Linked DNA regions of Nothobranchius furzeri. The protein of the gene in region 1 interacts with the protein of each later gene in a pairwise test. Links are inferred from orthologs where the notes say so. Each region holds a gene or a part of one and is shown on either strand. Other genes may lie near its edges.

Evidence for each region.
Region 2: the proteins of egfl6 (region 1) and endophilin-A1 interact in a two-hybrid assay, tested with the Homo sapiens proteins (2 studies listed by BioGRID and IntAct). The link is inferred for Nothobranchius furzeri from reciprocal best matches to the Homo sapiens genes EGFL6 and SH3GL2.

The regions. Positions count from the first base shown.
Region 1 is NC_091754.1:23,199,094-23,202,919, forward strand, and holds part of egfl6 (epidermal growth factor-like protein 6), read left to right. Parts: intron 1-425; coding exon 426-532; intron 533-792; coding exon 793-885; intron 886-1,009; coding exon 1,010-1,129; intron 1,130-1,205; coding exon 1,206-1,325; intron 1,326-3,447; coding exon 3,448-3,582; intron 3,583-3,656; coding exon 3,657-3,779; intron 3,780-3,826.
Region 2 is NC_091742.1:89,754,593-89,758,518, reverse strand, and holds the start of endophilin-A1, read left to right. Parts: upstream 1-1,263; 5' UTR 1,264-1,497; coding exon 1,498-1,542; intron 1,543-3,926. UniProt on the Homo sapiens protein: Implicated in synaptic vesicle endocytosis. May recruit other proteins to membranes with high curvature. Required for BDNF-dependent dendrite outgrowth.

The DNA.
Region 1 (3,826 bases):
TGCTTCCAACAAATGGAATAAGCAGCAAAACTCACTGAATCTCACTACCTACATTCTACATTATCTACCTTCAATAATTCTTTGCAATCAACAATTTCTGATCACTGTGCCTGCTTCTTAAGATTTTTTAAGTCTGTTTTGATTGCTTGTACTGTACATATTGTATATGAGAACAGTCCATTGTCTTTTTGTCTAACTGCTTTATCTCATTTGATCTTGTTCCTTTTTATCTTATCTGTTTTTCTTTGATGTAAAGCTAATAATTTGTGTCGGTTGCTGCTGCCTGTTGGCCAGATCATTGTTGTAAATGAGAATGAGTTTTCTTATTTTATATAAATCCAGTTTTTAATTGCATGATCAATCCTCTAAAAAGAGAGAATAATAAGTAAAATGAATGACTGGACCTATTTTTCTGTCTGGTATAGACATTACCGACAAGTTCTTTCTGGAAACCAACAAGGTGTGTGCCGCTACGGGAGGAGACTGGAGTGCTGCTATGGCTGGAAGAAAAACAATAAAGGGCAGTGTGAGGGTAAGAAATGACCTAATTTACTGTTTTTTTTTCCCCACGCTTTTATCTTCTAAAAGACTTTTTGACCTATTGAAAATAGTTACAGAGACAAATCTGAAGGTTCTGTCTGGAAACCCGGCACGTTCTTATGTTTTTCATCAGGTTTCCCAGATTTGGAGGAAATGCCTGAATAATAGAAATGTGTGGTTTGAATGTGGTCCATCAGTCTCCACCACTAATAATTCTGGTGGTACTTTTCTTCATGTTGAATGTTTTACCAGCTCAGTGCGAGCACGGCTGCAAGCACGGTGAGTGTGTCGGCCCCAACAAATGCAAGTGTTTCCCTGGATACACCGGAAAGACGTGTAATCAAGGTGGGTGAAAGGGATCAGCGAGGAGGGAAACAAGGGTTAGAGGGAGATCAGAATCTTATTTTGCATTACTGTATTTAATCCAACACTTGCCTTGAATTAAGGAAGTGATTCTGTTTATTTCCAGATCTGAACGAGTGCGGCCTGAAGCCTCGTCCTTGCGAGCATCGCTGCATGAACACCCACGGAAGTTACATGTGCTACTGCCTCAATGGATACATGTTGATGCCTGATGGGTCATGTGCCAGTACGTCTCTTTTGTGCAGCACTTTACTCTAATAAAAAAGCAGAAGTGGTTTAATAAATAAGGTTTGTGCGTGCAGATTCCAGGACCTGCTCCCTGGCTCACTGTCAGTACGGCTGTGAGGAAGTGGAAGGGGAAATCCGCTGCCTTTGCCCGTCTGCAGGTCTCCAACTGGGTCAAGACGAAAGAACATGCGTAGGTGAGCTCAACGTGTCAAGCACAATTACAAACCCGACCATCATGATCAAACTGCTCTGATTTAAAGAAAAAAAAAAAAAAAAAACGAGAACGAACATGAACTATAAAAGGTTGTAGCGTTAGCCTCCAAGGCTTGTTAGTCACGGATGCTGTTAGGTTTTATTTCCTGCCGCAAAAACTGCTCAAGCTGAGCCAAACCATCATTGGTGGGGGGGGGGGGGGGGGGGGGGGGGGGGGTAGTAACACACTAGATCAACAGATCATATTTCACGACGGCCTCTGAGAAGATCATCATCAACATTTGGTTTCAAAAATACCAAAAAATAACGAAGTCCAGATGTGCTGCAGAGAGAAAAGATAACCCTAATGAGACAGATGCAGGCTGACTGTTTACAGAAAATTTCAATCTTAGTTCAATCTAGAGTGTCTGCTCAGCATCGAACTGAAAAAAATAAAAATAAACAATGACTGCAGGCCTACTTCAATTTTCAGCCACCATTAGAACTCTTTGAGGCCACATGTTGAGTTCAAGTTCTGATTTCATTTAAAGAAAATAAACATTGAGTATAAAGATCTTGTCCAGAAGACCACGAGGACCACTTGCACTTTTTCATCCTCCAAAGCCATAATAATAGTAATACTGTATAAACCTTCTTTGGCATGGTCACTGATTCTCACAATGCACATTAAACAACTAATTAGTGTACCATACTGCATACACATCCCATCAATAATTATTCTCGGGGAAAAGAAAGTCTTTCAGGAATTGTTTACGATCACGAGGATGCAAAACGCTGCAGGAAAAGAACGTTTGAGCATACCACTCCAGTCCTGCCTCGTTACATTTTAGAGTTTGTTTGACTGACATTCATTCCTACTAGAGGCCACTGCAAATGTATTGATTAAACAAGTGAACCACCCCTTTAAGTCATTAAATGATTTGGCACCTGTTTACTTTTCCAGTTTGCCTCAAGTCCCCTCTCGGTCAGCTGACCAGCTGTTGCTGGTTGTCACTAAATTGCGTCTGAAACGTACTTTTACTCACTGGTGTTTAGTTCAGTTATCGACAGTTTTACATTTGATTCTTTTTTGCTTTTATTGTTTTTATTTAACATTTTGTATTTGTGCTGCAAAGCACTTTGGTCAACCACGTTTTAAAAGTGCTATACAAATAAAGAATGGTATAGTATATCGTAAAGCTTCCATTTTGTAGATGGATGACTTCATTGGAATGCCAGGAGCACACAGACAGCAGGTCTTCCTGCAGCATCACAGAGATGTGAGCTTGAGTTAGGTCATCCCAGTTTGTTCAGAAAAAACACGTTTGTAGAACAAGTGCAGAAAATGTCCCCGATTAAACCTCCACAAGTCTCTTGATTGTAAACTTTTTGTTTGGACAAGTTTTCTGCATTTTTTTTGGAACCATCAGGAACATCCGACCTTCTGATCTCAGGCAGCGTTTGGAAGTGTAGATTTACACCAAATCAGTTATATATGAGGGTATATAGTGGGCCTGGTTAAACTCACCATCCATCCATCTTCTGAACCCGCTTCGTCCACGCAGGGTCGCGGGGGGGGGGGGGGGGGGGCTGGTGCCTATCTCCAGCAGTCAATGGGCAAGTAGGCGGGATACACCCTGGACAGAGAGCCAGTCCATCACAGGGCTGGTTAAACTCACATTAGGCATAAAATATGAAAACAACAAAAACAATTTTTTTATAATAATAAAGTCATTTATTGATAGGTTTTAACAAAAAGAATGAAACGTGTCCGTGAATATCAAATATTAAGTAGGACTTCTGCTTTCTCTGATGAAATGTTTAAGGTGGTCATTAAAATTGTGTTTATGCTTTAGTTCAGGGGTACTGCTGTGCACAATGTGCTACATGTCTCCAGGAAAATGTGAGTTACAACAAAACTAATGTACAGAAATGACAAAAACACCACTCTGTGTCTCTAGTGCACGTTTTAAAGGACAATAAATTGTTTCTGATTTTATTGTATATCATATTTCTTCTCATTCTGCCAACGTGAAATACTGAAACTCACAGTAGACAAATTACTGAGTGTATAAGTTTACAGGTAAATAACTAACTTTTCGGCCACGGTTTGCTTCATTTCAGATATTGATGAATGCATAACTGGGAAGAACCTCTGCCCATACAACAGAAAATGTGTGAACACCTTCGGCAGCTACTACTGCAAGTGCCAAGACGGCTACGATCTGAAATATCTAAACGGCAAATACGACTGTCAAGGTGAAGTCTACAAGGTTTTCAAGGTGAAACATACAACTTTGTCTTCTGTAGTTACCAATAGGGTTGTTTTACAGATGTGGATGAGTGTGCAGCTGGAACCCACAAGTGCAGCCACCACGCCGTTTGTCTGAACACTCAGGGATCCTACAAGTGCAGGTGCAAGTCTGGCTTCAGAGGCAACGGCTTTGAGTGCTCCGGTGAGACCGAACATCTGCTGCACAGAATTATAAAACCATTTACTTTT
Region 2 (3,926 bases), on another chromosome or scaffold:
GACCCCTGATGCGCTGTCCGTGGTGCTGAAACCTCAAACGTCTTCTCTCCTGATATTTTAAAGCTTTTTTCTGCACGTGAAGGCGTAACCTTCGGTCACGTGACCACATAGATCTGGGTTTTTGTGTTTGTTTGTTTGTTTGTGTATAAAAGCAGCGGCAGACACGAACGCGTCGCGCGTGGGGTTGCTCGTGGATGCTGGAGGGTGGAGAGACCACGTGACAGAAGAACGCAGCCAGTTCCCGCCCTGCGGAAGATCGTGTGTGAGGGAAAGATGGAGGCTCTAAATCAAAGATAGATTTTAAAGACTGAATAAATACTTTTGAGAAAAAAAGAGTAAACATAGTCTGTCATTTTTAAATGTAAAAGGAGAAAATTACAGCTAACAAAGTTTTATATGAGATATCTGTGGTCTGGTGGGAACACCTTGGAACATCAGAGGAAGAGCTGGAAGGTGTCATCAATCAATCAGATTTTATTTATAAAGTGCTTTTCAAGCAAAGTGCGACTCAAAGTGCTTTACAGAATAAAAATGACCCCAAATTTCCAGTTTAAAAACATTAACAGGCACACACACACACACACACACACACACACACACACACACACACACACACACACACACACACACATCAGTAAAAATTCATATTTGGCTGAGTCCAGATGAGCCAAGTAAGGTAAGGCAAGGAAACGCCATCAGTCATCATCAGTAACAGGTTTTCCACACTAAAAGGGCGCTCAGAGGAGGGGGAGCACAGACCCCCACCTCCACCTCAGCTTTACCTGTAGAGCGCTCACGAAGCAACAGTCGACCACCGCCCCGGGGCAGAGGGCCCCTACAGAGAAAACACAGGATTAAAATGAGTAAAAATATGAAAATAAAAGAGCTAATAAAAATGACAAAAGTAAGAAAATAAATAATAAATAAAAATTATAATATTATTAAATAATAAAACTGTGCTAAATATAATCATATAAAACACGCAAAGCCATTAATAACACATAATCAACTAGAAATAAAACTATAGTAAATAATTAAATAAAATTCATCTCAGTACTCTACAATGACAGAAAATAATAAAGCACTCTACTTAAAATTATATTTTGTGGTAAATAAACTTGTAGTTAATTCAGGGAAAAATAAAAAAGATTTTTTACTTTTAGGTGAACACAGCAGGCTTCCGTACACAGCTGATCATGTTTCTGATCCTTCATAAATACAATTTTCAGGTTTCTGTACTTTCTGTTCCCGTTGCCATGACTCCCGCCCGCGTGAGCCATCTGCCAGTTGGAGGATCTGCGTGCAGCTCTTTTCTCTCCGCTCCGAGGACGCGTCCAGCTGGGTCTGGTTCCGCTCTTTTCCTCTCCTCTTCCACACCGATAAACGGACTCTGTCCGCCGTAAACGGGAGGGTCGGCCGGCTCCAGGACTCCGGTTCGGTCCAGATTAAACCAGCTGTTTATCCGAAGCGTGTTGGTTGTTTTTCACCGGAGAGGAGATGTCTGTCGCGGGCTTGAAGAAGCAGTTCCATAAAGCCACCCAGGTGAGACCCGGGGCTTCAGCTGTTGCCCCTTTGCTCTTTGTTTGTGGTTGTTTTGAACAAAAACAAAACATGCGGGGAGAGTGAATAAATGCATGTAAATCGGAGCTTCTCTGAGGATAAACATCGTGTTTTCTGTGCTTCGTTAGCACCAACACGTCTGAAAATGTTACCGGGTCGTTTTTATTTGGACTGTTTGGTGAATTCTCAGCTCCAGGCTGTTTTTTGTGATACTTCACGTTGATATTTTTGGTTTTACTGATTTATTTTGGCTGGTTTTGGACATTTCGAGTCTAATTGGTTGAAGAGATGAAATATTTGGACTTCGTGTTTTTTCTCGCGATATTTGGAGATACAATCGGGGTGAACCTCTAAAGTGATGTTATGTAACACTTCATCAGCTGATTGGCTGCTGCTGTGAGCAACAGGGAATTCCCTCCATCCCTCAGACAACAGGCTCTGATCATCTCCATCCTCCTCCACAACCCGTCCTGCATCCCTCCATCCTTATTATGGCTCTTTTCATGCATCCCTCCTTCATTCATTCATCGTTCATCCATACCTCTATTGTTCATCACCCCCTCTACTCCAAGACTCATCCCTCCATCGTCACACCATTATGATCTTCTTTCCAACCAATCCTCTTTCTGTCCCTTTTATTCATGCATTTGTTCATCCCTCCATCGCCTTCATCCTCTTCTTGTTTACCCTCCACCCCTCCGTAGCATCATTTCATCTTGTGGTCATTTGCAGAATATTAATAAACTCTATCCCTCTCATCTGCTTCCATCCAACTCTTAATTATCGTCATCCTGCTCATTTTTTCCTCTCATCCTCCCGTTTCTAAACATTAAATTCTTCAAGCTGCTTGTTTTATCTTCATCCTCTCATCTCTCCACCCCTTTCACCTTTTCTTGTTTTTAAAGCTCTCCGTTCATTAGTGCATCTCGTCCTCCTTCCATCATCCCTCCTTCATCCAGACTGGACCTTCTATTCCTTTTCTCTAAACAAACCATCTGCTTGTTGTGGTTTTACAAACAGGCATGAACACCGAACCTGACTAGACCTCATTGGTTCTTTTTGTTTTGCTGATGATGACGATGGAGACAAACATAACGTCTTCTTCACTCAGAATCATCTAGTCTCATCCTTTCTTCTGGTTGTGCTGCTCCAGACCCGTAGGAGAATAACATTCCTCCTGTTTGGATCCGGGTTTCCAGGATAAGTTGGAACGGATAAACTTGTCATTCCTCATACCTTCCTGTAGTCCGTCAGCTTCAGACACCTGGATGCTCATAGAACCTCCTCCTCCTTCTTCTTCTTCTTACATTTTATTTTATTTATTTAGGACAGTGCATGTTAATGAACATCAATGTAAAAGCAGCGTACGTGAATGTAAACATGCCAGATTATAGCCAAAGGCTAAGTTCCATCTGTTGTCCTCAGACAGAAAAAGACATAATAATTCATAAAAATTCATCATTCATTCATAATAAAAACTCCATCACCAAACTTACACATACACACCATTCTATTCACAAATAAAACATTAAAACTATACAACTCATACATGATCACACACTTGATTTGTCCATAACCAGTTTTTAATCTTTGCCTTACACAAACTGAAAGTCGAGCATTCTCTAACGGGTTGAGGAAGACTGTTCCACAGACGGCCACCCTTGACAGAGAGGACGTTCTGCCCAAAAGCTGTCCGTCTATGTGGTATAAACAATTCTCCTCGAATTGTTGCTCGTGTGGTCCTGTTTGAGCTTTCTTTATGCCTAATGAACTGCTTTAGTGGTGGTGGAGCAAGGGAGTGTTAAACAGACTCTTTTAAGTTTCATTAAGTTATTGAAGTTGTCATTTATGTTTTTTTAACACATGACAATGGTGGTGGGAAGTCGGTTTTTTGTCAAGTAATTTTAAACTTCTTTTATAAATGTTTTCAATAGTTTTAAGTGTTGTTGGACAAGCGAGTGACCAGGAAAGGGTATCCGCGGGTCCTTAAAAAGTCTTAAATTTGCTTTTTCAAACTTAAGGCCTTAAAAATCCTTAAAAATGACAAATAATCCTTAAATACAGTTTCCAAAGGTCTTAAATTACCAAAGACCCAATAAACAAGATTCTTTTATTTCTATAAAATTTTCGTGAATTTCTAGTTAGTGTTCAGCAAGTTTTGTGTACGATGTTGGCGTAAGCGGAACCGTACACATTCAGTTGGTTGTGAAAGGGGGCTATTTTTAGATGAGCACGCTAGTGGGAGTTTGCGTCATGGGGAAGTGCAACATTAATGGTAACTGGATGGCTAATCCCACGTTCGTGACGTGGTTAGCACCGGTTCCAGGCAATAGCTGGAAATTATAGCTTAAATTTAATTTTAAAAA